Linked DNA regions of Saccharomyces cerevisiae S288C. Changing the gene in region 4 together with the main gene of any one other region gives a genetic interaction. Each region holds a gene or a part of one and is shown on either strand. Other genes may lie near its edges.

Region 1 (5,995 bases), on a different chromosome or scaffold from region 4:
ATATGGGGGATGGAGTTGCAGGAGCATCTGTCTGCATTGCATTCTGGGTCCCTAGTTGTGGCTGAAGTGGTTGAAGTTGAGGTTGCTGTTGAGGTTGCTGTTGAGGTTGCTGTTGAGGTTGCTGTTGAGGTTGCTGTTGAGGTTGCTGTTGAGGTTGCTGTTGAGGTTGCTGTTGAGGTTGCTGTTGCGCGATGTCTGGTTGCTGTTGTTGTTGTTGCTGTTGTTGCTGTTGTGCGATATCCGATTGTCCCAAGCTTTGCGCATTCATCATTCTAATTTTGGAAACAATATTTTCAGCACTTTCTCCCTGTTGCAGAGCTTCTAATGCGAAAAAGGCTGTTTGAACAACATTTGCAAGCGTATCTCTCGAAACACTATCAAACAAACTAGCCAGCTCGTCTACGACAGATTCAACAGTACCACCGTTAACGATCAATAAGACAATATACTCCGCAACATACTTGATATCTTCGTTAAAGTTTGGTATACCAGCCAGTTTTTCGGCAACGATAACCTTCAAGTTTTCTGTGTACTGTTCTTGAGACATTTCTGATGTACTTCCACTTCCTTATGATCAGAGATAATTAGAAACCACTATATTTAGATGTTTTATGGAAGTATTTGGAAGAAAGATGTGTAAAATTTTGTATTTTTCCCATTTGCCACCAGCGAAGCGAATATCACTATTTCCCCGCTTCGTATTTTGTGTAACGATGTACGAGAATACAACAATGTTTATATAATTGTATATGAATGTTCTCTTCACATTAAACTCTGTGTATAAGGTCGCGTTGAGCAAGCTAGTGATAGAACCTTCTCCTAGGATACATAGAAAGAGTGTCATCAGTTCTTGTTAGCTCTTCTTGTAACTGTGTGAACAAATCGTCGATGTCCCAGTCCAGTTCTGACATTTTCATTGAAAGCACATCCCTATATAAACGTCTCGCCTGGTTCCTTTTTTCTAGCAAAAGTGCTAACAAAGATGGCAGTGTTGTGGCAGTAACTTCCCTTGATTCAGGCTCAATTTTGTAATGAACCACACGATCGGTAAGTGTGTGCAACTCTCCGACAACGGTGACGAGGTTTTCTTGAGTATTGGAGAATAACAAAACTTCCCAGAAATTATAAGTTGGTTCAGCCCCAGCCGAGGCTTCTTCCTCGATGTCACTTAGATAAAACATGATTGCTACTTAAAAGATTTCTTATCTTCTCTGTAGTTCAAATTAGATAGTGGAAAATAAGTTTTCTTAATATACAGATATATGCGGTTTACCCCAAAACTACTTTGATGGGAAGCCAACATCCTCGTTGAAATTGAGTGATTAATTTCGTTGCAAGAGTAAGATGCTCGTTTTAAGCATCGTTAAAGGAGTAATTTACCTTTACGGTAATCTTTGCCATTTTTAAGGGAACTTCCTCACACCGCGGTTTGTTTCTTTATTTGTTCTTGTAAAAACACCTCGAAGGGAATATAGGATGTGCTCTATATAGACATACCCAACAAAAGAAAAAAGCTTCTTTTTGATACAGGGCGCTATGATTTTAGTACAAGCAGCTTTAGGTTACGTGTACCTATTTCTAGTTGAATTTTCTCTCTATGAAATAGTCCTATAAATTTATATAAATCTATTTTTTTTTTTTTTTCGACACAAAATGTCTATTTCTTGGAGTGCTTACTCTTCTTTTTGTTTTTACCTTGTTTCAACTCGTTTAATCTATCAACTTTTTCCTTGATCCTTTCCAAAGATAATTTGACATCACCTTTTTGGAAATTGCTTAAGTCGTAGTATGCAGGCGCTATTTCAATCAGCCATTCGGGCCTGACCGAGGTCACAGTTCTTATGTAGTTCTTCGATGTGAGCACAAATTCATTGTAAATGACCCATTCTGCGTCGTGGCCAAGAACCGTACTAGGATGGATCAGAACATCTTGGTTATCTTTAACTGTGATGTATCCTTTAGCTCCCGATCTTTTTTTTGCTACTTGCATGAAAAACCCAGACGCAAGAGCCTTTCTGATGTTGTCAAAGTATTTAGGGCTTTCATAGTCTGTAGTGTTTAATTCTAGGTTGTAACGGTTCATTAATCTTTCTAATTGGGAGCGGATATTATCAGCAGCGGAAAGGGACCTGTAATTTAGATAGTGGTCACGGCACCACTTATGGATACCATATTCATAAGCTTCATCCGATTTGAACGCATGATATACATTTAGTAAGGTGATATGATCACCGTCTGGATGAGCAAAGATATTCTTGGCATCATCTGCTCGCTTCTTGTCCTTTGTTGGGCGAATAAACACGTTTGGAACCGATAGCATGGCCACTATAGTTAGTATTTCTTGAGAACATTGGAACTCAAAGGACCCAATTAACATCACCGCTAGCATAGGATCCAAGGGAAACTGGGATGCCAATCTACCTAGGGGTGTTAAGTTACCTTCGTCGTCCAGACATGCCAAATAATTTAGTTCTTCAAGGGCTCTCATCATTGTTTCCGGAGCCGGTGGATCCATAAAATCGAAATGGACCAAGTCATCAATACCTAATTTTTTTAGTTCTAGAACGGTGGAGGATAAATTGGAACGTAAAATTTCTGGGTAACTTTGCTCTATCAGTTCCTTTTGGAATGCCTCTTCAGTGTATAATCTGAAACATTTACCAGGCCTTGTACGACCAGCACGACCAGCTCTTTGTTGGGCAGAAGCCTTGGAGATAGGGGAAACAAGTAAAGACTCAACTCTAATTCTTGGATTGTAAACTTTTTGCTTTGAAAATCCTGGGTCAACGACGTAGACAATACCATCAATTGTTAAAGAAGTTTCAGCGATGTTCGTGGAGATAACAACTTTCCTGCCTGGTCTACCATTATGTGACTCTGGAGCAGGCTCGAATATTCTTTGTTGTTGATGCGGTGGTAATGAACCATACAGTGGGTATACGGATAAAGGTCCGCATCCCTCTTCTCTAACCAATTGATCACCTTCTAAGGAAATCTTTCTGACAGCGTCTTCAATTTCATCTTCACCAGTTAAAAATAACAAAATATCGCCAGCCTCTTCAGTGGCATGAATTTGCAAAACAGTACGAATGGCAGAATCTAAATAGTCCCTTTGAAATTCCGGTGTATAGTATAGCTCAACTGGATATGTTCTGCCCGGAACGGCAAGTAATGGAGCATCGTTGAAGTAGCGTTGGAACTTCTCTGCATCCAGAGTAGCAGACATAATAATTATCTTCAAATCAGGTCTCCTCTTGACTACTTGCTTCAAAAGACCCATCAAAATATCAGTAGCTAGTGTACGTTCGTGCGCTTCATCCAGAATGATACATGAATAACGCGACAAGTCATGGTCTTCCATTGCCTCTCTCAACAACATACCATCAGTCATATACTTCAATATCGTTTTATTAGAAGTTTTATTTTCGAATCTGATAGAATAACCAACTTCTTCGCCCAACTTGACATCCATTTCCTCAGCAACTCTCTGTGCAACAGACATTGCTGCGACACGACGAGGTTGAGTACATGCAACTTGAGTGTTCTCTAAGTGTGGCATCTCATCGAATAAAACGAATTGAGGAATTTGTGTCGTTTTACCGGAACCTGTTTCACCAACAAAAACCATAATCTGGTTATTTTGATAAAGTTTTAAAAACTCATCTCTCTGGGCATGTACTGGCAATTCTCTTCTAATTTTCAGGATATCAACATATTTTGGTGTAAACTCCCTACCGGTAAATGGATTTATTTTTCCATCTTCAAGTTTTTGGGCCTCTTCTGCTGAAGTATGGTGACGTTGCAAGCCCTTGAATTCACCAGCATCATGATGGACAAGTGGCTCTTCGGATGGAAGAGGATGCTGTTTGGATAATTCTTCCGCAATCTCGGCGGCCTGCTCAGGAATAGAGGTCTCAACTGGATCCGGGTGTTCGGACGAGAATCTTCTTTTGGAACCCATTATTATTCTTGCAGTCCTAATCTTTCTATGCGCGTTTATAAGGTTATACTATCGTTACTCAATCGCATCCCCGTAAACGTGTTAAATATTACAATTGAATAAGTTTCTTTTCACCTCATCTCGCATTTGAAAATTTTTCAGAGGCACCGAAAAAAAAGAAAAAGAAATAAAAAAGGACTTGTGTATAAGATCGCTAGATCAATAAAAAGCAATCTGGTAGATTTATGGGACTCCGAAATGATACTGTCAGTTGAAACAGCAAACGAATACAGAGCGTAAAACTAAACGACCTTAGTTTGGAAAATGATGAAATTTGTCCATAACTATATACTATCAGTCAGCAAACTATGATCCGGGTAATATTCATTTGTAAAGCTTTAGATCTGTAATAGTACCCAGTACTTTTTTAGATGATCTTAATTAGTTAAGATCTTTCTGGTACTGTACTCAGTACGCTTCCTTGGCATCCTTATTGGGACCTGTTCGGCTAAGATATCGTTCGATATGGTTACAAATATGGTGAAATTGAGGAATTTAAGGAGATTGTATTGTTCATCCCGTCTCTTAAGAACTATACAGAACGGGAGAATTTCTTCTGTTTCTTCAATATCGTTGAGTAAGAAATATACTACAAAATCTGCCAAAGAAGGTGAAGAAAACGTAGAAAGGAAGCATGAGGAGGAAAAAAAGGATACATTAAAAAGTTCCAGTGTACCAACTTCACGAATATCGAGATTGTTCCATTATGGCTCACTGGCAGCAGGGGTGGGCATGAATGCCGCAGCAAAAGGCATATCGGAAGTTGCAAAGGGCAATTCTCCCACTTGGAAATCTTTGATTCTATCAGATTCGAATATTGACAGAATTACCAATAAATTTTCTAAAATGAGAGGTGTTGCCCTTAAAATAGGGCAACTATTGTCTTTTCAGGATGAGAAAGTGTTGCCAAAGGAATTATACGAAATTTTATCAAGGGTACAGAATAGTGCAAATCATATGCCTCAAAGGCAATTGGAAAAGGTTATGGCCAAGGAATTAGGTGCTAATTGGAAGACAAAGTTTTCCAAATTTGACAAGATACCTATGGCAGCTGCTAGTATCGGACAGGTACATGCGGCAGAGTTGCCCAGTGGTCAAAGAGTGGTTGTCAAAATTCAATATCCTGGGGTTAAAGAATCCATTGATTCGGATTTGAATAGTTTACTAATGTTACTTACAGCCTCAAGTTTATTACCGAAGGGATTATTTTTGGATAAGACAATTGCCAACGCTAGAACTGAGTTAAAATGGGAATGTGATTACAACAGAGAGGCTAGAGCTCTACAAAAGTTTGAGGCGTTGCTAAAGGATGACCCAGCGTTTGAGGTTCCTCATGTGTTTCCTGAATATACAACCGATAATATTATAACTATGACACGTATGGAGGGAACTGAAATAATGAAATTGCCCAAGGCATCACAAGAAACCAAAAATTTTATTTCGGAGAATATCATGAGACTATGTCTGGAAGAAATTGCCACTTTCAAGTATATGCAAACGGATCCTAATTGGGCAAATTTCCTCTATAACGGTAGGACAAAGAAAATTGAATTATTGGATTTCGGTGCCTCCAGACCTTTTGCAGAAGATTTTATTCTAAAATATAGAAAACTTTTAACTTACGCCACATTGAGAGATAGGAAAGGGGCGTACGAAATGTCTGTACAACTGGGCTATCTCACAGGCTTAGAATCGCAGTCCATGAAAGACGCGCACGTCGATAGTGTACTTACACTTGGTGAACCTTTTAGGGGTGATGTAGATAAATCTTTCGATTTCAAGGATCAAACAGTCTCAGACAGGATTAGAGGTAATATCGGGTTAATGTTGAATGAAAGACTATGTCCGCCACCAGAGGAAACATACTCGTTACATAGAAAATTTAGTGGCATTTTTCTTTTGTGTGCAAGAATGGGTGCGTCTGTTCATTGTGCAAAGCTTTTTAAAGAGATTTTTGCCTATAAAGTTTAAAATACTTCCCCGCTATTTGTATAT
Region 2 (10,916 bases), on a different chromosome or scaffold from region 4:
ACCAGCCCTCTCTTTTGGTACTGCAACATCCGACAATAAGACAACTAACACAACCCCAAGTTTTTCGTTTGGTGCTAAATCGGATGAAAATAAAGCTGGTGCTACTTCTAAGCCTGCCTTCTCATTCGGTGCTAAGCCAGAAGAAAAGAAGGATGATAATTCCTCAAAACCAGCTTTCTCATTTGGTGCCAAATCAAATGAAGACAAGCAAGATGGAACGGCTAAGCCAGCATTTTCCTTTGGTGCCAAGCCCGCGGAGAAGAATAACAATGAAACCTCCAAGCCGGCATTCTCTTTTGGAGCAAAGTCTGATGAGAAAAAGGATGGTGATGCCTCTAAACCTGCCTTCTCTTTTGGCGCTAAACCGGATGAAAATAAAGCTAGTGCTACTTCTAAGCCTGCCTTCTCATTCGGCGCTAAGCCAGAAGAAAAGAAGGATGATAATTCCTCAAAACCAGCTTTCTCATTTGGTGCCAAATCAAATGAAGACAAGCAAGATGGAACGGCTAAGCCAGCATTTTCCTTTGGTGCCAAGCCCGCGGAAAAGAATAACAATGAAACTTCCAAGCCGGCATTCTCTTTTGGAGCAAAGTCCGATGAGAAAAAGGATGGCGATGCCTCTAAACCTGCCTTCTCATTTGGTGCTAAATCGGATGAAAAAAAGGACAGTGATTCTTCGAAGCCTGCCTTCTCATTTGGTACTAAATCGAATGAAAAAAAGGACAGTGGTTCTTCGAAGCCTGCCTTCTCATTCGGTGCTAAACCCGATGAAAAGAAGAATGATGAAGTCTCCAAGCCTGCCTTCTCATTCGGAGCAAAGGCTAACGAAAAGAAAGAAAGTGATGAATCAAAATCAGCCTTTTCATTTGGTTCTAAGCCTACAGGAAAGGAGGAAGGCGATGGGGCGAAGGCTGCCATTTCCTTTGGTGCTAAACCCGAAGAACAGAAATCCAGTGATACGAGCAAGCCAGCGTTTACTTTTGGTGCTCAAAAAGATAATGAGAAGAAAACAGAGGAATCTTCTACGGGGAAGTCAACCGCAGATGTCAAATCAAGTGATAGCTTGAAATTAAATTCTAAACCAGTAGAATTGAAGCCAGTTTCTCTCGACAATAAAACACTGGACGATTTAGTAACGAAATGGACTAACCAACTAACAGAATCGGCCTCTCATTTTGAACAGTATACCAAAAAAATTAATAGTTGGGATCAGGTACTAGTGAAAGGAGGTGAACAAATTAGTCAGTTATACTCAGATGCTGTGATGGCGGAACATAGTCAAAACAAAATAGATCAATCTCTACAATATATCGAGAGGCAACAGGATGAATTAGAAAACTTCTTAGACAATTTTGAAACCAAGACAGAGGCACTTCTGTCCGATGTTGTGTCTACAAGTTCAGGTGCTGCGGCCAACAATAATGACCAAAAAAGACAACAGGCCTATAAGACAGCCCAGACTTTGGACGAAAATTTAAACTCGTTGTCATCCAATCTTTCTTCTCTAATAGTAGAAATCAACAATGTTAGTAATACATTCAACAAAACCACTAACATCGATATAAACAATGAAGACGAAAATATTCAACTAATCAAAATCTTGAATTCACATTTCGACGCTTTAAGGTCACTAGACGATAACTCCACCTCTCTGGAAAAACAAATCAACTCGATAAAGAAATGATCTAAAAGAAAAAATTCCCTCTATTCTACACTTATTTGACATAGGATGTGCTATATTAAATAATTATATATAGGTATCAAAATGTACGCGATGGTTCAGAACCTGCAATTAATTTAACACCTCAATCATACTTGTTTTTTTCCTTTTTCAAGAAGTTTTTGTAATGTGTCGTGCCGATCTGTAAACGACCTGGATTTTTATTTCATTAGACAGTAAATACGCACCAAATCAGAACCAAAGAAAGGCTTCTGTAGTGTATGAAACTAAAAGCCACTTTTTGTGATAGTTTCTTCTTAGTACTTAGTACACAACCAAATATTTTGCAAAATGAAATCGATTCCTAAAAGTAATTCTTAAAAGTGATAATGAATGACTTAATCGTTATTTTGATATCCTGTTAATGTGCATAACATCACAATTAGCTTCACCATTTCGTTTAAACTTTGGTTATTAGGATCCGACGAATTTTTCTTATCTTCTTTTTCCCTCAAAAGATCTCTTTTGAATATTCCGATCACTAGCCTCTTATACGTATTCAGTAAACCCTTTACCGTTTGAACAACAGCTTTGTTTGAGCTCCCCATGCTCACTAAAACAGCTGATATCAATTGGAATATAGGAACGATTAACTCAAACAAGGAAACACCATTAGCATCTTTGTCAACTAGTAGCGGATTATCCAAGGTGACGTTAACCTTTAAGAATTTGGAATTCTGAACGTAGACTTCGTCAAACATAAGGTCTAGACCCAAATCAGGATCAACTTTTAAAAATGACAATTCCGCGATTATTCGGAATAGATTATTTTCAATTAAAGCGCTAGCTCCACCTCTAGTTTCGGCAACACGTATTAAAAAGAATACAGTGGCTTTAAAAGCTGTCAATTCATATAACAAATCATCAATGTTTATGTGCTCTGTAGTAGAATTTAACAAAGCATCTGTATTTTTCAGCGAACGTATTATTAAGAGCAGTCTTGTAGTTTTCATCAGTGAATCCAATATAAAATTCTCTTTACTTCTATTAGCCAGTTGAATAAGTGAATCCAATAGTAATATACCTGTAACCCTACTAGTTCCCTCGCCATAAACAACATCGTTCCATATGATCTCTACCAATTTTTTACTTCCTAGTCTCAAATCCTGCAGAACCTTTTCGGACCCTACTTGGTCGCTTAGAACTCTACTCAAATAATGGTTTGCTAATATATAGAAATCGGACCTTAATGCCACAGAGGAGAGTGGGGAGTTTATACCCTGAATACATGTCTTGAACAACTGATATAGCCTGCCGTCTACCGTGCCTTTGTCGGTAATCAACTTACGATCGCGGTTATATATATCAAATAGGAAAACGGCGAGAGAAACCAATTCTTCTGAAAAAGTTATATTAAACTCAATATAATCACTAATCTTCGGAATAATTGTACCAAAAACCTCCAGAATAAAGTTTGATCTTGTTGATGGTTCCAATTTTCCATCAGTAACAATGATTTGCACCAACTGTACCCAAGAGTGCAGCACAGATAGGTTCAACTCCAATGCTTTGTTTCTTGATATAATATTCGTGAAATGGCTTTTTGCTTTTATACACTCGACATCTGCATCCTTCAAAAATTGTTCTTTTGACACAGTGAGACTGAAGGAATTAGAATGTAAGCTTTCAGCACGGACTCTTTTAATCAGGCGCATAAGGTTTTCCATTTTGTGAAAGTCATAGATATTGCCGGAGCAATACTTGTTAAGAGTGACTTGTTCCAAATTTAAAGGAACATTGGTGAAAATTGATAACGTCTCTTTTGGTTCGCAGATATTGCCATAGTTTAATGGATCCAAGAAAGAAAACAACCTTACCGAATACATTGTATTTGATATCAAGTAATTCACATATGTTAAAACCTCTGATTTCGTGCCCGAAAATGAAATTTTATGAATGAACAGACCCAAATATTGTGTCCAATAATTCCTGTAGGCTAAGAATGACAGAAATGCACCAACGGATTCGCTCTCGATGAAGTTCTTACATTTTTCCTCTGTAGAATTGTCAAAAGGAGAGCCGTTCCATGTCGTGAACCTTGTCACTTGTGGATCGAGGATCATTATTCTCTCAAAAAAGTTTTCTTTGATTAGGTATGAATATAGTAGACCAGATGTTAACGGATTACGACATAGTTTGAGAATAATTTCCAGTGCTGCTGTAGCCAATCTCATAGGTGCATAATCGATATTGTCCTTAGTAATGCTGTTCAATGAAGCTTCCAACACGCTTATGAGGGAATCAAGTAATGAGGTTCCGGAAGATATAAATGTTGCTAGGTTAGGTCCCAGGGATATAACGTTTGAGACCTGGAAACCTAATAACAGATGAGAAATAGTCATCGTTCGACTATAATTAGAAAGATTTGATGTTAAGAAATCTAATAGTTCTAACTTCAAAGCAAGGACACCAGCGTCGGTTATTGAGCTTTCCAATTGTGTAATAAATGCATCCTTTATTCTGGCTGATTCATCTACGGAATCGAATATTGTTAACAACTTATTTCTCTTAGACAAAGACGCAACGGAGCCATTAGAGCGTTCTGAAAGTTTCGCCAAAATACGCAGTGAATTTGTGGCTAAAATTTGATCATCGACCCCGACGTATAAACCCAAGTGTGCAACAAGTGGAATATTGAAAAAAATTGCATCGTAAAATGAACGTAATCCGTGAAGAGAATAATTCTTTGGCAAGAAATAATCCGTCTTGCCATGCTTCTTAACAATTGGAAATAATTCTTCCACGTATGTCTCCTGATAATCCAATACTTTATTGATAATTTTCACAGCTAACTGCAACAATTCAGCCTGATTTTTGCCACCTTCTAACTCTATGGACAATTGATCAACACCAACATCAACTACATTAAATATACTTTTGTAAATCTTTTCCGTGAAAATATAGTTGAATATGGGGATAGCTGGGCATTCTTGAACGTAATTGAAGAAATTTTCGCAATCCACCAAAGCATCCAAATTCGCAGCTGCAGGAATAGAATTTAAAATTACACTGTAATCAAAAGAGCATAAGCCCGTATAGATAATTTTCAAAATAGGAAGCTGGACGGCTCTTTTATTTCTGATATCAACAATTTGATCCACGTGCGCTAAAATGTCGTTGAAAATGTAGTCAAAATATGGCCATATACCTACCTTCCTATATCCCTGACCTAATCTTGTTGGAAATGCCAATTTGCCAAAAACCATGTATTCACTATTATTTTCACGAGAATGAATAGAAATCAGATTATGGAAGAGTTGTAAAAACCCCAAAACGTCAGAGTATTTTGTTAACACGTTTGTAAAAGCATTTCTATAAGATTCGGATGAATAATTCAGCGATGAATCCTTGAAAATTAGAGAGTCTAGAAAAGACCAAAATTTTGTTCTAGAAGATTCAAGTTTTGGAACCAAGTTACTTATAACCTTGAAAGCAGCGCCTACGAGAGGTGTATTTATCTTGGTGAATTCGAATAGGACATCTGAGAAAACTTTCGATAGCGAGCTTTTTACATCCTCGTCAACCTGGTATGTAACTGATCCAACTAAAGTTAATAAAGAAGACAGAAATATTACAGCTTCTTCATTTAAGCCTTCTTCTAAGGCTACCGCAGTCGAATCGATATCGTTATGAGTTGACTCACTAAACTGCTGCCTCTTATGGAGGCTCGAGTTAAAATTGCTTATTTTCTTAGTGTAGTCACTGAGACACTGTGCAATGTTTTTCCATGAAATCGAGCTGTTTTCGCCAAAATAGTGATAGACATTCAGGGCATTTTCAGGACCAAAGGACAAGCTAGAAACCATCAAATAGAAACAAGACCTCATCAAGTTGTCGTTGCATCTCGAACACCACTCAATAAAACCATAAGCGTTTGATTCCTTATCAGACCAGAAAGTACATGAATATTCGGGCCTTGATGCATAGAAAAAATATATTGACAGAAAAAATCTTTCTAAGTCAGCCTTTAGTGAGATGTCATCCAAAGTTAAGTCTTCACCGGACAACAAAGAGTCTTCCTCAGCATCCTTAATCTTTGTAAGCAAAAAGGCACAATCTGTAATAATAGTTTGAAGCACATCATCAAAGGATGAGAGGAAAAATTCTTGGGTCTGATCGGATAAAACTATAGTAGTGTAAGAATATTCGTTGACGTTATTGGGCATACTATTTAGTCGAGCGGTACCCGTGGTTGACATCATCCCAGGATAAGACGGATTCCATAAGCCGCGTCCGCTCATATTATCAGTTGCGGATGCTGGGTTGTAGGTAGAATTCGTCGTTTGACTGAAAATTTTTTCATCATCAAGTAACTGTTTAGGAATTAGCCTTGGAATATGCCTTTCTAACAGGGACCTTATATCGTAGAAAAGTTCCATACTCTTGTCTTGTTCCACGATAGATGTATCTGCGGCAAATATTAAAATTTGTTCAATAGCGCCTAGTTCGACGGCAGAAGTCATTGGCTCATCAACATCAGTTTTGAAATCCATCGTGTCAGCCCTTCTTTTAGGGTCTTCTTTACACCACCCAATGAAGTAAGCAAAAAAAATGAAAATAAGAGCTACTTTGACCGGTTTGGTATATATGGAGTCGTCCTTTAAGTCTTTCATAAACTGAGAATGTAATAATTTGACATCTGCATCGGGCAAAACTCTTAAAGATGCGAAAAGGTGGAAAAATGCAGGAGTATAATATATTATAAAAAAATCATTGGAATCCAATTCTGACACATGATGAAGTAAGGACAGTATAAAATCCTTATTTTTCATGATGGCTCCTTTATCCACTAAACCATATAAAATTTGACTCAGAATATCATATTCTCTCAGTAAGAAGTCTCTCCTAAACTTGATATTTTGTTGGAATAAAGCATTATAGTTTTCTAGTATCTGAGCCTTATTGATTTGTTGTTTAATCTCAGATAATTGAGTATGAATGAACTTAAAGGCTGAGAGGATATTAGAAACTAAAGCTCCATTCTTTATAAGCTCTTGGTATAACTCAGTATCTTCGTGGAAACAGTTGACTATAAAAGAAACAATTTGCAGGATATATTGCCTTCTCAAAAAGTATTGTACTTTGCCATTATTAGCGGTGGTATCACCAGAAAGTATAAGTTCACATGCAACAATTTCATCCAAGTTTAATTCATCGGACAAAGAAATAGCTTCGAAAATAAACTCCTGATTGACCTTAAAAGTAGAGCCATCGGATAGTTCAATTTCACCTTTTTCTAATTGTGATCGGCTAGCATTGTTTTTTAGTTTGTCTGTGTTTAAGTTCAAATTTTGTAAGTCAGGAAGTACCTCTTTGAACAGATCAAAATCGAACTCACCACTCTCAATAGAGCGATACAATGTTTGGAAAGGAATTGCAGACCATTTCATTTTTTCTTATCTGCGGAACAAATCTTTTCAACTAGGTTAGATGCCAAGTGATATAAGTTATATATATTTCGTGCTTAGGAGGCGTGTTGTTAATTGGCGTACCCTGAGGAAATAATTTATTAAGTATAGTGTAAACTAAGTGGCTAAGAAAGGTATTGGTAAACTAGTTGAAAGGCAATGGGCGCATTTACTAAATACTACATCACACTTACAAACTAACCTTGTTATTTTCCAGCAGAAAATTTATTTTCATCAAAAGACGAAAACGGAATCATACTACCCGGCCCGAGAAGGACTTTGATGAAGACCGTAGTTAGAATGGGCTCACTAGACTCGTGAGCCGTTTCAGTTTAATTATTATTATATATGTATACCAGTGCTTTACCCAAAAGAGAATATTTACGTGAAATACTACGCTCTTGCTGGGACCTTAACGTGTATATACTATCATAAACTGAGACTCTTCGTAAATTGCCCCTTAACAACACGGTGCTGTGAATGCTATCACTTGATTATACGCCAATAAACTTCATATTCTTTGAAGAGCCGCTGCTATTGCATTTAATGCTAAGGAAGGTTAACAAAGCATTAATGAAGAATAACTACAGGAGTAGCCAAAAAAATCTCCGCGACGGGGAATTGAACCCCGATCTGGCACGCGACAAGCGCCCATTCTGACCATTAAACTATCACGGAAGAAACAAAGCACTCACGATGGGGGTCGAACCCATAATCTTCTGATTAGAAGTCAGACGCGTTGCCATTACGCCACGCGAGCTACTATTTGTTGAAGGTTTTACTACTTTATTATAGTAAAACCTAATTACGCTTTCAATTACTACAATTTTCGGATTTTCACGGCTGGTGAAATAATGCAGCCTGTATTGCATAAAATGGCCGCACTTATGAGAACTGATACAAGTTGTTTACCGTTGGGGCACCAAGGTGTTATTAGTCAGAAATAAATGTAAATTTCTTATACTGCAAAGCAGAGGTACATATAACACACATCGATTGGTTCATCTTGGCTACGACTAATATTTTTGGGATGCAGGTGAATAATTAGATAATTGTTGTAATTCCATTGTTATTAAAGGCTATAATATTAAAGGTTATTTGGGTCTTTCTCTCTCTCGGCTTTATTTTATTTATAGTTTCTATCTTTCAGCTTTCAAAAAATAATATATATGGCGCTTCATGAAAAGAGAGCTAGCTACAGAAATATAAACAGTCATGGATGAATAGGCGGCGGCAGCTATGCCGGTGCATGCGCACAGTATAATGGACTTAAACTGCCTTAGTACAACTGTTCAAGTTATTGAATAGCATTATATATTAGTGCCAACCAAAATATGAAACCGATGCTTCCAACTGTCACCCCAAGAAGACACGCAAAAGGTGCTACTGCACATAAATCGGCCACTCCTTGAGCTAGACCCAATTCTAACAGACTTACAGTTAGGATTCTCTTTATTCTGTCTAGTCGTTTCTTTTTTTCCCTCGCTTCTTTTTCTTTTTCGTCTTCTCTACCACCATTTATAGTAATTCGATTCTGTTCTCTACTGAGGTTTTCTAAAGCATTAACTACCTTGCCCCTGGAGACTTCTTTAAACTTTTTGATATATTCAAATGGTGAAACATTCAAAGCCGCATCTAGTGCCTTTTCCACCTTTTCATATTCTATTTCGAGCGACTCTCTCTCATTATTATCCAAACTTTTCACTTTATAATTTAGCACCGCTTCTAAGCCCTTCAAAATAAAAGTATGCTGCTCATATTTTGCACTAATGTTTTGAATTTGTCCCTCGATAATAGGCACCTTCTCTGCTGTCAATGTTTCGTATGTTCCATTGTTGTCCAGATTTCTCAATGATGTGATTAACCTATCGCCCGCATCGCTGAACTGTTGTATTGTGTTAGTTCCTGCAATCACAACAATGGTGAAATAAAAATATATGAAAAGCTGGAACCTCATTTGAATTAGTTTACTTCACTAGGCTCTTTTATCTTCACTTATTGTTTTGTGGTGTCTATTTTTTTTACTGACAGTTTACACTTTTATAGTCTTTAAAAAAGCAAAAAAAATAATTCTTTTATTTTTATCCCAAGATAATAAATATTTATGTATTGGATAGTAGTATAATTGAGTATAAAAATTATTTTTGTAGTACTTTTTCAAACTAATCTCTGCAAGACATATCTTCCATATTTTCACAATTATTTAAGCCGATTGCAACAACATTCACCATAGGTGCCTTTTCTGCGGCAATGCGTAGCCCTATAATTAGCTGCTTGAATGAGAAAACCACAAAAAGGGGGATTGAATACATAGCATAGCTTACACTGTATCTTAGTAATTTTTTTCCCTTCTACTTTGTTTTTCGCAGGGCCTTTGCCTTTGGAAAAGGGTACACGAGTCTTAAGAGAAATGAAAAAAAATGACACTAAATCGGTGATAATAATTTGTCGTTGTGACCACAAAAAAGAATTCATAAAAAAAAAAACTTGATCATTGGCGCCACAACCTAGTCATATTTGAAATCATTTTTTTCCTTTATTTTTTACCACAGGGTGCGTTTAGAAGAGACACAAAATCACTCTAGGGTTTTCTATCGAACATAAAGTAAATCATTTTTATATTCCAAAATTGCTCGAAGTAAATCTCTTGTTTTCCTCCCAAATGAAGATCAATATTAAACCTTTCTGAAAATCTTTTTTAATACAGATTACATTATAGAGTTGTATACTCTTCGATCATTTAACTTCTCTTTTATGGGTCATATATCTCTAATTGTCTCTACAGTACTTTTTTTGCTTTTCCAATAAAAATCATAATCACAGCCATAGTCACAAAACTATAAGATGAAAGTACAAATGATAGAAAGGATTTTTCTGATCCAGTTGTGTTTGCTTACCGTTGTATTAGCAAGTAGTAGAGCAGTGGTTGAATTCGAAAGTACCGGAACCAAACTGGTCAACTCATTAAGGGTCTTGGCTGCTTACTCGCAGAGTTCTGTCTGTGTTGATGAAAAAATATCTGGAATCGAGAGACAAATAGAGGAAGTTAAAGATATGTATGGTAACCACTCTTTTATTCTAAAGGGTTTAAATGGTATATTGAATAACAAGGTGAATATGCTAACAAGGGAAATCCAAATGGAAACTGTTGGCAATAACACATTTGAAACAGAAACAGGGAAGCTAACTAAGGGCCTAAACCGAGCAGTAAATATATCTCCGTTCAAGTACATAAAAAAATTCAAGACCGTTTCAACAAAGAAATTTGAAAGCCTCTTGAATAAGTATGATCTGGTTGCCAAGAAGGGCGGGGAATTGACAGAGGAACAAAAGAAAAAGAAGGAGGTGCTCTCACGGATCAGTAGAGTAGTCGCTGCAACAACGATAGAGGCTGGTCTGGCACAAGGTGTGGTTGATTTATGTATAACAGTGACAACTAGTCTATGCTTAGTCTCGGCCAGCATTGGAGGCGTCGGATTTCTTATTTGGCTCACCATTATATACCAAGCTCTGACTTAGGAAAATGTTGCCGATTTTGTTTTTGCCACTCCTGTACATTGTTTAATCTCAGATCGTTGTATATATATACATATATATAGTGTTTTAACGACATTCTTATATTTGCATTTCTGCTTCTTATTACACCTAACTATTCTGTAACTGCCATGGGTAAGCATTTTTGAAGTATTAATTAACAATTAAACTTTCAAACATACCCACCCTTTCGTTGGAATAAAAATCAATTAACACCCACTGACTAGTAAATATTACTAGAATAACTGATGATT
Region 3 (7,122 bases), on a different chromosome or scaffold from region 4:
GACTGCCGCAGCGGCGGATATCCCTCCGGCGCTGGTGTTCAATGGCTCATCTACGGGCGTTCCTGAGTCCATAGACACTATTTTGTCGTCCAAGCTGTCCAACATCTGGATGCAGAGGCAGCTCATCAAGGGTGATGCCGGTGAGACGTTGATCTTGGACGGGCTCACCGTGCGACTCGTCAACCTCTTCTCCTCCACTGGGTTCAAGGGTCTCCTGATAGAACTGCAGGCGGACGAAGCGGGCGAGTTTGAGACCAAGATTGCAGGCATCGAAGGACACCTAGCTGAAATCCGGGCCAAGGAGTACAAAACCTCATCCGACTCGTTGGGGCCGGACACCAGCAACGAAATATGTGATTTGGCGTACCAGTATGTTCGTGCTCTGGAGCTGTGAGTTCTTACGAATGCTTTTTCTTTTTTTTTTTTTCTGTTTGTATATTGCGGTGTATACGTATAGATAGATAGTCTAAATAGTAATCTTCAACCTTATGTATCTCGGCTCATGCAGTGAGGAAATCCATGGATAAGCCCGGATTGTAGTCATCGTCGCTGTCGCTGTCGCTGTCGCTGGCGTCCTGTGTTTCCTTCTGTACAGGTTCTTCTGTCGGTTGAGAGTCCTCTTCAGCGTCTTCCTCCTCCCTTGCATTGTCAATAAACTTGTTCAGTGTACTCGTATGCTCAAGTGGGCGGGGTTCCTGGTGTAGCACCTCGTAGCCCTCTGGTAGGTCAGCCTCTGTCATGGCAACGAATATCGTGGGAAACTCGATCACTGTGGTGTTCTTCAACAATTCTCCGATGCATTTCTCATGTATAGCCAACTCCACCAGTTTTTTTGAATCCATTATATGCGTGGTGTTGTAAGGGAACGTTTTCGTGTAGAATTTGAGCCCACTCTTCTGTAGGATCTGTGTTCTTTCCTCTTTGGTCTCCGAACCGTCTTCGCCCTCTATGCAAGAGCTTGTTCCAGCCAAGCGATAGAATTCACAGCATTTTTGGAAAACGTTCTTGCCCATCCCTTGCACCAAAAAGTCTGTCTCTTTGATACGGTGGCTGACATGTTTGAAAAGCTCCTTTTTCTCACCCTTTTCCTGCATAGGACATAGAATCCACTCCACGCTCCATACAAATAGGTCCATCGTTTTGTCCCACTTGCTCCTGTTTTGCGATGATCGCTGCATCCCCTTGGGTAGCATCAAACAGTTCACCCCCCTCCTAATTATCCTCTGACACTCCGTGCTATCACGATCATCCTCATCTATATCGTATCTTCTCTTCTTGAAATTAGAGTTGTGGCCGCCCACAGGCCCCAGAACCCGCTTGTTCTTCATTCTAGCATCCATCTTTTGTACATGCACCATTCGCTTCAACTGCGTCAGATAGTTGTAGTCCCTCTGGACATAAGCATTTCGTTCGTGCTTGTCGTCGTCCGCCTGTTTCAACGCCTCACTCGATATATACTCCTTAGGATCATGTGTTTGACCTGAGCAATTGTCCCTTGTCTTGTGCTTCTTGGAACACTCCAAAGAGCAAGTTTGCACCAAACATCTTGGACACTTGTATTTGAACTCTTTTATTCCGCATACACCACACAACACCGCCATACTTGCAAATTGCCACACCCTTCCCTATTAACTGGACTCCTATTCCAGCTCATCTCATCGAATATGAACTTTGACATCCACTATTATTACCGCGAATTTTTTTTTTTTTCAATTTGTTACCCTGCCTTGGGTATCAAAAATTTCATCTCTAAAAGGGAGCGTGATAGATAAAGCAATCACACCTTAAACAATACATTTTTTTTTTTCCTGCAATCTCCAAAGTGTGCAAGGTATACAAAGCAGAATGGTATGTGCCATTACATTACGTGTCAACACTTCTGTCTCTAACAAGCGTTCTTACTAACATGAAAAACTTTTTTAAAACTGTGCTCTCTTGTTGGACTGGTACCTCGTGACAAAGGTATTGGTTTTTTCATTGTTGCTCAGAACTATGTAATATTCTCTTTAGTCCCAAAAAAACGGAATTGCCACCCTACTACAAGCTGAAAAGGAAGCCCACGAAATAGTATCAAAGGCTAGAAAGTACAGACAAGATAAGTTGAAGCAAGCCAAGACTGATGCAGCCAAGGAAATCGACTCATACAAAATTCAAAAAGACAAGGAATTGAAGGAGTTTGAACAAAAGAATGCCGGTGGTGTTGGTGAATTGGAAAAGAAAGCAGAGGCTGGTGTGCAAGGTGAATTAGCTGAGATTAAGAAAATTGCAGAGAAGAAAAAGGATGACGTTGTCAAAATTTTGATCGAGACTGTCATCAAGCCTTCTGCTGAAGTCCATATCAATGCCTTGTAATATTGCATTACATTCTAGTTTTCTAATCATATATCTTTTTATAATATAATACCAATAGAATAAAAATGTATAAACTGACATTGCATTCGGTCTTTACGACTCTCGCTTTATCCATTCAGCCTTTTTTTTTTTTTTTTTTTTTTCTCTATCTGCTAAACGAGTAGTAGTATAATCAAAAATGTGTTATTTAGTATATCGGTTGTAAAGGAGAAAGTATGGTCTCTCTATTTTTATTTTATTAACGAAAAATACTAAACGCCGATGGGGATTACTATATAATTATAATAGTATTTGCAGAATAGTAGAATTCTTTTCACAGTTCACGTTCAGTTTCTCCTCTGTTTTATCGAACGTTTATTCATCATGTCCAAGGTCTATCTGAATTCAGACATGATTAACCATTTGAACTCCACAGTTCAAGCTTACTTTAACTTATGGTTGGAGAAGCAAAACGCAATAATGCGTTCTCAACCCCAAATTATTCAAGATAACCAAAAACTGATAGGCATTACAACGCTAGTTGCCTCAATTTTCACTCTGTATGTTTTGGTCAAGATAATCTCCACCCCAGCAAAGTGTTCCTCGTCCTATAAGCCAGTCAAATTCTCCCTTCCTGCACCAGAGGCCGCTCAAAATAATTGGAAGGGCAAGAGGTCTGTTTCCACTAACATATGGAATCCTGAAGAACCAAACTTTATTCAATGTCATTGTCCCGCCACAGGTCAATATCTAGGTTCTTTTCCATCGAAAACGGAAGCTGACATAGATGAAATGGTTTCTAAGGCAGGCAAAGCTCAATCTACTTGGGGCAATTCTGATTTCTCAAGAAGATTGAGAGTTTTGGCTTCTTTGCATGATTATATTCTAAATAATCAAGATCTTATTGCGAGAGTAGCGTGCAGGGATTCAGGAAAGACAATGTTAGACGCATCGATGGGTGAAATCTTGGTTACTTTAGAAAAAATTCAATGGACTATAAAGCACGGCCAAAGAGCGTTGCAACCTTCGAGACGTCCGGGCCCCACTAATTTTTTCATGAAGTGGTATAAAGGTGCAGAAATCCGTTATGAACCACTGGGTGTGATCAGTTCTATCGTTTCCTGGAACTATCCATTCCATAACTTATTGGGTCCAATTATTGCAGCATTGTTCACAGGGAATGCCATTGTAGTAAAATGTTCAGAACAAGTTGTCTGGTCTTCGGAATTTTTCGTCGAGCTGATCCGCAAATGTTTGGAAGCTTGTGATGAAGATCCAGATTTGGTTCAGTTGTGCTATTGTTTACCTCCAACTGAAAATGATGATTCCGCAAATTATTTCACCTCTCATCCTGGTTTCAAACATATCACTTTTATTGGCAGTCAGCCCGTAGCGCACTATATTCTAAAATGCGCTGCCAAATCATTGACACCCGTAGTTGTGGAGCTTGGTGGTAAGGATGCGTTTATTGTCCTAGACTCAGCTAAGAATTTAGATGCTTTATCTTCTATCATCATGAGGGGTACTTTCCAATCATCCGGTCAAAATTGTATTGGTATTGAGAGGGTTATTGTCAGTAAGGAAAATTATGATGATTTAGTCAAGATTTTGAATGACCGTATGACTGCAAATCCACTACGCCAAGGGTCTGATATTGATCATTTAGAAAATGTTGATATGGGGGCAATGATATCTGACAACAGATTCGATGAACTAGAAGCTTTGGTTAAAGATGCTGTTGCAAAGGGAGCTCGTTTACTTCAAGGTGGTTCCCGCTTCAAACATCCAAAGTATCCACAAGGTCATTATTTCCAACCAACTCTTTTGGTGGATGTCACTCCAGAAATGAAAATAGCACAAAACGAAGTGTTTGGCCCAATTTTAGTCATGATGAAAGCTAAGAATACTGACCATTGTGTACAACTAGCCAACTCTGCGCCATTTGGTCTAGGTGGTTCTGTGTTTGGTGCGGATATCAAGGAATGCAATTACGTCGCAAATAGCCTACAAACTGGTAATGTAGCCATTAATGATTTTGCTACATTCTATGTTTGTCAATTACCATTTGGTGGTATCAATGGTTCAGGTTACGGTAAATTTGGTGGTGAAGAAGGTCTTTTGGGTTTGTGCAATGCCAAAAGTGTCTGTTTTGATACTTTGCCTTTTGTCTCCACTCAAATTCCAAAACCATTAGACTACCCTATTCGTAACAATGCTAAGGCTTGGAATTTTGTAAAGAGTTTCATCGTAGGAGCTTATACAAATTCCACATGGCAAAGAATAAAGTCACTGTTCTCTTTAGCTAAAGAAGCCAGCTAGTTTACTTTAGAGGAAGCAACAAACTTATCAATAATTTGGTATTTATTATTATATAAAATGAACTTTTTATGTACAAGATTTATGATTTTTTGATTCTATACACGTTACGAAATTCCTCATTTTACAATGCTTTTTTCAACTTTCTGGAATTGGTCATGAAGCTTGTTCACGTAATCCTTATGCAGTTTTTCCAAATCCCTCTCAGCTTTTCGAACGGCATCATCCTTTTTGAAACTTTTGAATTCCTTTAGAATACTGCCTCTGATAGTTCCTAATGAGTCTTTTAGCGATGACTGCTTATATTCTTCAAATACTCTCTTTAAGTCTTTAGCTACTTTTAACCGGGATTCTGTAGTTGGTGGTGGTAACGAAACTTTCAATTGCAAATCGTTATTTGGGACCCTTTCAGGAGTTAAATTCAGGTTCGCAGCAAGCACCCCACTGATCACAGTTTTCACATCTTTGGGGTCGAAAACTGTTATTAAAAGTGCATTTTTACCTTTCAAGGATGTGGTAGCAATATCTGTAAACTTTCTGTTATTTTTGAACACTAAACTATTGAATACCTTAGGATTAAAATTTCCCTGTTTTATCTCATTCATTTTCTGTTTTTGAATTTCTAAAGTTTTTTTGAATTGAGTTTCTGCCTTTTTCAGCAGTTCATTCACGTCAATTTCATCTTCTTCGACTTTCTCAGTAGGGGTAGAACTTTTTTTCTTCAAAATTATGAAAGATTGACTAAAAGAACGATTAAATAGACGAGGAACGGTGACTGGTCTACAATTTAATCTAGCTGTGGTTAAAATCATTATTTCTTGCTGTTATTTTTCTTGTCAGGGACTGCTCGCCAAAGTTTCCATCTTTAAGCTTACGAATGGACGTATTTAATAAATTGATGTTCTGTTTCCGGACGGGTCCTTATGCCAAAAACAGAATGAATATGCGGCGAATAAATAGCAACGTGAATAAGTAAGTCATGACAGAATATAGAACGGGAATTTGGACGGTTGGTTCAATGAATATTTTTAAACTATTTACCTAGATAAATTAAAATTGTAAAACTAAAAAAACCTAATGAAGTAATCAAAACCCTTTTTTCGATAATCTAACATTTACATGAGTTGATGGATGAAGTGACTGCATTCGCGGTTCTATTCCACAAAAATTTTTTTATTCATAATTCGATGGATATTTGAAATCAGTCAACTCGTAGAAGTTCTCCTTTGTGTTTCTAATACTGACAAATCTGCTTAAAATGTTTGGACCACCAGCCTTATCGTCGGTACCACTCATTCTTGCGCCACCAAACCATTGCTGAGAAACAACGGCACCAGTACACTTATCATTTATGTAGAAATTTCCTGCGCTAAACTTCAACTTCTCATCTGCGTATTCAATTGCTTTACGATCTTTGGCAAAAATAGCACCAGTTAAGGCGTATTGACTCGTATTATCGATAATATCACAGATTTCATTAAATTCAGTATCTGGATACTCGTAAACAGTTAATATAGGGCCAAAAAATTCTGTTGACATATATGGATGATCTGGTCTCTTGGCTTTTATGACTGTGGGTCCGACAAACCAACCTTGGCTTTTATCGTATTGTCCACCGTAAAGAATTTCCAACTCGGGGTCTTTCTTTGCATCTTCAATTACTTTAACTAATTTGTCGAAACTTTGTTCATGGATGACAGGACCCATAAATCCCCGCAAATTCCCACCAGAAATTGGACTTGCGGATGTGTTCATTGGGACAACATTCTGTGACTGCAATATGCCAAACATATCGGATAAGAATTCTTCACTTTTTGACTCTGGAAGATATAACCTGGAAGCGGCAGAGCACTTTTGGCCTTGGAACTCGAAAGTGCCTCTAATAGTAGAGAGTACTGCATGTGATATATTTGCACTTGGGTGAACTAGATGGAAATTTTTACCACCTGTCTCACCAATAATACGGGGGTAATCTCTGTACTTCCCTTCAACAACGCCACTTTGTATTTTGCCATACAAACTCTTAAAGACATTTGTAGAACCGGTAAAATGCAAGGCACCAAAATCTTTATCAGCTAATACCTGGTCAGTAACTTGAACTGGATCACCTGGAATGAAATTTATGACACCCTTTGGCAATCCCGCTTCTTCCAAAACAGTCATCAATAAGTAATTTGAAAGGGCAGCGGTTTGTGAAGGTTTCCAGACAACTGTATTACCCATCAAAGCTGGAGCCCCAATCAAGTTTGCAGCAATAGCAGTAAAGTTGAATGGTGAAACAGCATACACAAATCCCTCTAAAGGTCTGTATTCAGCTTTATTCCAAGTACCATCCGCTGACTCTACGGGTTGTTGAGCATACAAGTCTGATGCATACTTGACATAGTATCTAAAAAAGTCAGATAATTCCGTGATACAGTCGATTTCTGCCTGATACACATTTTTTCCCTGGCCCAGCATTGTAGCAGCTAACAT
Region 4 (7,360 bases):
ATAAAATTTTGCTATTTTTAAAGGCAATCAAAAACGATGAGAGAGGAGAAACGTTATCACACAGGTTATGGCTATATGCAGCACCTAAAAGGCCGAAAACTTTTGCAGCAAATCATAGTAAGATCACATTCGCAAGCTTAGGTGAAAGTTATAACAATGATCCTAACATATTCGAAAAAGTTCGAAAACCAATGACAGGAATGGTAGAGTTTTTTAAAAGGGACCTGGAAAGTGCATACAGGGTTTCAGAACAAATTTCTCCCATCAAGTTGAATTGGATATATTATTGCGGTGACGCTGCTGGGAGGAAAAAGGACTTCAGTGATTCTGACATAAAGTTTGCTGAAAACTTGCACGTTGAATTCAAGTACCCTGAGGAAATATTTCACGGGTAGTCCGTTGTAAAATGTTGAATATATACCAGTATATAGTAATATTTCTTAAAATGTTCATTTGTGATGGTGAAAAAGAATATGAAAGCAATGTCAGGATGACACCGTCTACAGGGAATTTGCAGTTGCTCTTCTTCGATAGTACGTATATCCAATTATCCCCAAAACGAACAAAAGATTAAAAGCGGCACAATATTTCGTAACCATAAAAGTATAGCTGTAGCAAAGCACTCCCTTTTTACAGTTCCCATCATCATCTCCTGTATTTGCCTTGAAATCTCTACCTAATATATCGGTAAAAACACTCACTGAAAATACACCACCAGTCGTTAAAACACCCCACAGCGTACTATACCCATTTGTGCCAAATCTATCTGCTACTATGGAGGGGAAAGTACCAAATAGAACGCCAAAAGAATAACCGAAGATCGCTGAGCATACCGAAATATTCTTGAATGATTTGGAGGCTCTTAAAGAAGGATCTTCAATGCTGCTGAAGTCATGGGATATTTTATTCGATGCAAGAAATACCAAAAGCGATGCTATGACAATATTCCATAGTCTTTGAGCTTTGAATTTCTTGACCAAAAAATCTGATATAGGCCCAGATGATAATCTGCCGCAAAATGAAAGAAGAGACAGGAGAGTTACTTGTAATGATTGAATTTTTTCTGCATTAATTGGTAATTGATTTAAGGGTGGAGTAGAAACCTGGGCTTGTACCATAAACCCCACAGAATATATGTACATTAAACCCACGCCTTGTAGTATACCCAATACTATGTAGTAACCAATAAATGTTGAAGATTTTAAGCTTTGGAATACATGTAATCTCATACTTTTCTGTGCGCTATTCTCGCCCACTGTATTTTTGCTGGTATTCTCATCCTCGAAATCATACTTTGTGTGTGGGGAAGAAGGTGATAACAATGGTCGATTTGATAACTGTCTATCCTCAAGTGCAAAAAATTCTGACGTTTCCTGAAAATTGTCTGACAATGCATAAGTTTCATAGGTAGCAGGGGATGATGAACGCACAGGTGAACCTATATAGTCATTACTGTTCTCATATAACGGTACTATATTATCGTCTGTTTCCCTGCTTTTTTGAAGCTCCCATTCCTTAATGCTAGCATCATCTCCTTCTGCATTAGAGAATATATCTAATGAGAAATAGCCTACTAAAATCATGCAACCACACGCAACCATCAAGAAAATGAAGACATGCTCGATGTTCTCACCAAAAAGCTTTGAGCAAAGATATGAGAACACCATGCCCGATAAACCGTATAGGGACACAGGAAATGCCCCAGCTGTACCCCTGTGTTGAGGAAAATTTGTATTTGCACATTTCACAGAAGCGTAAAAACCTGAGACAGAACCATATCCAATGAGTACCAAACTTAACGATATGAGAAAAGTACTAGACCATTCGTGCTTATAGCATAAATTCAAAATCAAATACGCGATGAAAACACACATTGAACCAATTAGACAGGACAGTTTAGGACTTCGATCGACAACTATTCCTGCTAAAATTCCCATCAGTGAGCTTCCTATTGTTAAAGAGAAGGATAGCTTACTTGAGGCAGAAACAGGTATGTGGCACTTGCTCAGTAGCTGAGGAGCATAAAATGAGAAAAGATAAGGTGTTCCAGCACCAAGGGCAACCACGTTACCTCCCACAAAACTTTTGAGATGTCCAAAGTGATTTGTATTACCCATTTTACTATTTTGGTGTTTCTTTACCATGGCACTCTGTGAAACATTGGTTGCTGTTTATCGAGTATCTTTGAACCGCGCAGGATTTATTTACCTTATCTCCAGATCTTCGATATCGACCAAATGTAAATATATTTCTGTAGGAAATAGAGGAACAACATAAACTTGAGGAGAAGTGGTTTTTCATGGCTCAAGTTATGCTCTGAAATTTTAAAGAAAACATATATACTTCTTCTTTCTTGTATTCTTGCGGATATTTATCCCTTTTTGATTTTATGATACTACAGTTAAATGTTCTTTTAGTCGGCATAAACGGACCACAATAATCAACTCTAGACAACTTATTAAACGGTTACTCGACCATTTCAGTCGAAGACAAGAACCTTGTGGTATCAAAAATGAATGATTGGCATGAGTTCAATGCCGCGATAAAGTCAATATATTGTAATGCAGAAGGTGACTCAAGCAGTATAATTAATAGATTGGTTGGCTTGGCAATGAAAAGCGAAGATTCCACTTTTATTGAGGCCGTTTTAGTTTTGAAAGAAAATGTGTCGAAAGTAGATAAACAATTAAGATTTTTATGGCTTACTTCAACTATTAATTCAAGGTTTTATCCCCCTATACCTATCTCAGAAGCCTCACCGGTTTCTTGGAATAAAACCGAATATTGCGCACCTGGTACTGAAGAACTACAAAGGCGTTATCCAGGGAGAGCCAAGTTACAGAATGAAGAAGACTATTCAGGCGGAATAGAACAATGCCGAGATGTGCCAGATTGCTCATTAGTTGCTTCTCTAATTAATCTTAGGTCTAAGAACTTGAATCTCCCTCTAATTAAACAAATATCATCAACTAAATATCACGTCAATTTAAGTTTTAACGGAAGCAACAAAAGGCTAGTGACAGTAGATATTTCGCAGATCCCAACCTCAGTGGATGGCAAACAACTTTCTTTAAAGAGTAACGATATTTCGGACAAAATTGGAGAGCTTGCATTACTGCTTGTTTCTAAAGGAACATATTCCACGGATGGCTCAAATATTAGTATAGATACTTACCGCTTAAGTGGCTTCTTACCAGAGATAACACAAGTAAACAGCTATCCTTTCGAAAAATTATGGAAGTTTCACAAATCTAATTTATGTCTGATGGGCGCTGGCACCGGGAATCGTTCCAATGACATGATAAAGCCCCTAGTTGAGAACCATGATTACTCTATAATTGATATCACATATGATTCTAGGCTAGTAAAATTGCGAGATCCGAGGAACTCGGCACTAAATGTTGAAATCAGCTATGAACAGTATTTAAAAAATTTCAAACAACTTTATCTTAATTGGAACCAAGAAAAATTATTCAAACGTTCTCAGGTACTTCATTTTCGGTACGATACTTCACGCTACAATAAATTTTCTATCGTTGCAGATAAACCTTTATTTCACCTGGTAAACAATTCTAAAGTGACAGAGACGGTATGGTTATTGCTAGAATCCCATTTGCAAGATGAAGGCAGCCAAGAAAATCGGTCAGTTTCCTTTTTGAATGAGGCTCCCGAATGCATAATTTGTCCAATTGAACCTCCAGTAGAATGCGGTGGCAATCACATTGGACTTCAGCTGGTAAAGTTGAGATTAGATGCTGAGACTGAGAGGTTATTGTATTGTTATTCAACAACAAACAACAATTTCAGTATTCACTCTTTCTCAGTTGTGAAGGAAATATGTTTTCAAAGATTGAAAGATACAAAAAGTCTTTTTGCCAAAGTCCTTTTCTCTTTTCCTTATGAAATAGAGGGAAAAGCCTCATTTGATACTTGTAATTTTTTTCAAAATCCGACTTTTGAGTTGGAAGTTCACTCTGAACAAGATTATCAAGTACTTATGGACGCCGCATGTATCTCAACTAGCTCACATGATTTAATTAACATCCAAGTATATTACTTTAATGACTATGAATTGATAAAGCCAATAATGTTTGATAACCACTATCAGCCCGGGCAGGGCCTTAAACAAGACGTGCCCATCTTAACTAATGTCAAATATATGATTGTATGCTCAACTTACGGCCCTCCAGCCTCAACGGAATTTGAATTACTTGCCTCGATACGGTTATCCTCTTCATGGAGGTTAATATCTGGAATAACTTTACGGAGTGTTAACTTGATATACGGTACTTATCCATATCATTGTCGCAACAGGTTCCATTGGAAGGAAACTTCAGACAAACTTAAAATTCAGATGACTTTGCCAACCAAAAAGTATTCTACGAACAAACTTTTTATACGTGTAGTACCCGTGGAATCATCAGCACGATTAAGGATGCGATGTAATATTTTCGAGCCTGAATCAGCTCTCTGTGTTTATGAATGTCAAGAGTATAGGACATGTCCATCTGGGGGCATCGTTATACCTGATCTGGAAGTCTCTCGTACTAACATTGTTGTATTGATGATAGAAAGAAGTGTACCTATTTCCAGTTGTTTACCTACGGAAGGACAATTGGATGAATTGGAGTTGTTTGTTGGGTCCAGTCAAAAAATCAGAATTGAAAAATACTCCGATGATGTGATACCAAAATAACTGTGCTTTATCTCAAGAACTGTCTATCCATCCTTTTTACAATTCTACACACAAAATTATATAACCTTGAAGTAGGTGAACATCACAGGATGCTGGAATCGCACCAAAGCACTACATTTGGGGGTAAGGTTTTTCATTACAAATCATTCCATCCAAATAACCAATTATTCAATCTATTTAACCAACTTTTCTTACTCTTGCTCGCTTGTTCCCTTTTCTTCAAGTCAGACTCGATCGAGCTCAGGACACCACTGTGGATCTTCCCTCTGTTTCTCAAAAATAATGAACGACCATCCTTTATTTCAAGCCTGCGTGGATTTTTGAAGGAAGTAGAATTCTTGGAAACCTTGAATTCTGCATTGCGCACTTTTGAAGTAACTGCTTTTGCCTTAGCTTTCTCAAAAATTCCTTCTGTTTTTCTATAATTGCTGAGGTCTTTTGAGCTTAAACTAGTTTGTGAACTTGTTTTATTGTTTATAATTTCCTCCGATTTCTTCAAGGAAGCTAATTGTTTGAGAGCAGCCGGACTATACGAAACACAGCCAATTAATGTTCCATTCATTATAATCCCATTTTCTTGTAAAGCACGAGATTTGGAAAGTTCGGATTTGTAAGTCAACTTGACCCATCCATCTCCTGTATATATGGGATATTTTTGAGCAGTCAATGACGGACTTTTTGACATGTTTTTCGAATTCAACTTTTTAAAATCTTTTATCACTCTAAAATCCTCTAAAATTTCACCGAAATTAGCAAAATGGAGTATAATAGAATTCGCAATCGTTTCTGGATATCCAAAGATAATAATGGCATGATCATCCCAATTCGTCGAGGCCCCTTCCTTACTCCCTGCACTAGCTTCACTTGACGCAGTATTCGGCGTTGTTTTCGTGTTTTTGTCGAAGAAATTAAGTATTCTGGAGGTCTTTTCTAGTGGACGGAAAGGCGAAGGTGTGGCTGTAGGCTTTCCATCAAAGGTTATGTTGGAAGACAAATTAGGATCTTCAATATTGTCAGTCTTACTTGAAAATATACCATCTTCTTTTTGCCAATCTGCCAAGGAGGTCTTGGGCGGTGCCTCATTAGAATCAAAAACTACCGTACCTAAATCTGAACTATGAGCATTGTTGTTGGCACTGTTATTATCATTTGGAGATACGTTTTTAAGGATGCGTGGATCTTTTTTAGAGCCAAAAGTGACATTGTTGAATCCATTGGAATTGGAAAACGCAGGTACATCTGCACTATCAGAACGTACGGGGCTTAAAGATTGGCCATTTGATCTCTTTATTATTGAATTTGGAATGGCTCTTTTCCTTGGATTATTGAACCACGCTGGATTATCATTCAGTTCTCCCGAGACAGTAGAAGGCGGATCTTCCATGAACAGCGGTTGTGGTGCACTCGGAAACCCGTTTAAACCTTTTAACAGTCCCGTTGGCTGCTTTTGCTGCTCCAGCTGCTCCTGCTGTTTTTGTTGTTCATGTTGTCCCTGTGATTCGGGCGCGATAACAGAAACATTGGTGAACCTGCTACTATTCTCTTGTTTTTGAAGGTCTGCCATTTTAAAAAGCTATGTTATTGAGAGTGCAGAGAGAATTTGGGCTAGCTGAGCTGTATATTTGAAACGTAGTTTGCCAGCTAATGCATCTTAAATTCTGTTTAAAAATATTGTGATGAGCTTTTCTTTCACTTCATGACAAGTCGGTCGGGTAATGCCCATCAAATAATACAAAAACTAATAACAATTATAATTATAGAGTTTAACTAAATATACTAACAAGTTTATGTGGAAAATATTGCCCTCATTTCATCTTAACAACCACTTTACCCTTAGCTCTGTTGGACATCAGTCTGTCAATAGCTTCTTTATATTGATCAAACTCGTAGACGGAATCAATAGGTGGCTTATAAGTGCCCTTCTTGATCATTTCGTTGCCAACTTCAATGAAGTTGTTGGGGGGATAAGGGTGTCCAAAGCGCCAGTTGTATTTTTTGAATGGGTTTATAGCCTTTAAAATAGAACTCAATGATACGAAATCTCTCCAACTGATATTCTTATAATCGGCCTTGTTATTTCCTGCAATTGTAACGTAAAAGGAATTTTTCGCCTTAGGTTTTAGAAATTGATCAATGACAGGGAAGAAATCATGGTTACCCACTGAATCAAAAATCATGTCAAATTTGTCGTTTTCCAACACGCTTTGCTTTAATTTCTTAACATTCTCAACGATGGATCCTTCGTCATAGGGAACCAAGTAGTCATATCCTAATTTCTTATTGCGTTCAATGGAATTCTTGCTACAAATGCCAACAACAGTGCCGATGTTGAAGTAGTTTTTTGCAATATGGACAAAAGCATATGACACAGAGGTTGAAGCGCCAATAACCAGAACTTTCGAATCAGAAGTCCAATCTTTCTTGAAATCGTATAATGTAGAAAAGGCTGTACCAAATGTTAGGGGCCAGGCAGCAGCATATACAAAGTCGTCATATGGGTCATTTTCGTCCTTTGGAACCTCCACCATATGTGTGATGGGTACATCTTTGGCAGGGTTGAGTATCAAGTAGTGTGTTAAAGTACCACGTTCACCATAAATATGACTGTACATACCATTCACTTTGTCGCCAACCTTCCAGCGATTGTCGACATCCTTTCCCGCT

Evidence for each region.
Region 1: mutations in YMR155W (region 4) and GPG1 together harm fitness less than expected from each alone (positive genetic interaction), as found in Saccharomyces cerevisiae (one large-scale study listed by BioGRID).
Region 2: mutations in YMR155W (region 4) and NUP192 together harm fitness more than expected from each alone (negative genetic interaction), as found in Saccharomyces cerevisiae (one large-scale study listed by BioGRID).
Region 3: mutations in YMR155W (region 4) and BCD1 together harm fitness more than expected from each alone (negative genetic interaction), as found in Saccharomyces cerevisiae (one large-scale study listed by BioGRID).

The regions. Positions count from the first base shown.
Region 1 is NC_001139.9:279,977-285,971, forward strand, and holds GPG1 (Gpg1p), read right to left. Parts: upstream 1,182-5,995; coding exon 801-1,181; downstream 1-800. Other genes in the region: mRNA-binding protein NAB2, read right to left, coding at 1-547; DEAH-box ATP-dependent RNA helicase PRP43, read right to left, coding at 1,658-3,961; protein kinase COQ8, read left to right, coding at 4,466-5,971. UniProt on the Saccharomyces cerevisiae protein: Gamma subunit of a guanine nucleotide-binding protein (G protein). G proteins are involved as modulators or transducers in various transmembrane signaling systems.
Region 2 is NC_001142.9:366,690-377,605, forward strand, and holds NUP192 (Nup192p), read right to left. Parts: upstream 7,111-10,916; coding exon 2,059-7,110; downstream 1-2,058. Other genes in the region: FG-nucleoporin NSP1, read left to right, coding at 1-1,684; LOH1 (Loh1p), read right to left, coding at 8,426-9,085; IRC18 (Irc18p), read left to right, coding at 9,973-10,647.
Region 3 is NC_001140.6:182,403-189,524, reverse strand, and holds BCD1 (Bcd1p), read right to left. Parts: upstream 1,602-7,122; coding exon 501-1,601; downstream 1-500. Other genes in the region: SRB2 (Srb2p), read left to right, coding at 1-394; VMA10 (H(+)-transporting V1 sector ATPase subunit G), read left to right, coding at 1,846-1,848, 2,011-2,352; MSC7 (meiotic recombination directing protein), read left to right, coding at 2,716-4,650; RRF1 (Rrf1p), read right to left, coding at 4,767-5,459; PUT2 (1-pyrroline-5-carboxylate dehydrogenase), read right to left, coding at 5,821-7,122. UniProt on the Saccharomyces cerevisiae protein: Required for box C/D snoRNAs accumulation involved in snoRNA processing, snoRNA transport to the nucleolus and ribosome biogenesis.
Region 4 is NC_001145.3:563,335-570,694, reverse strand, and holds YMR155W (uncharacterized protein), read right to left. Parts: upstream 2,145-7,360; coding exon 501-2,144; downstream 1-500. Other genes in the region: TPP1 (polynucleotide 3'-phosphatase), read left to right, coding at 1-395; RIM13 (Rim13p), read left to right, coding at 2,513-4,696; FG-nucleoporin NUP53, read right to left, coding at 4,833-6,260; YIM1 (Yim1p), read right to left, coding at 6,502-7,360.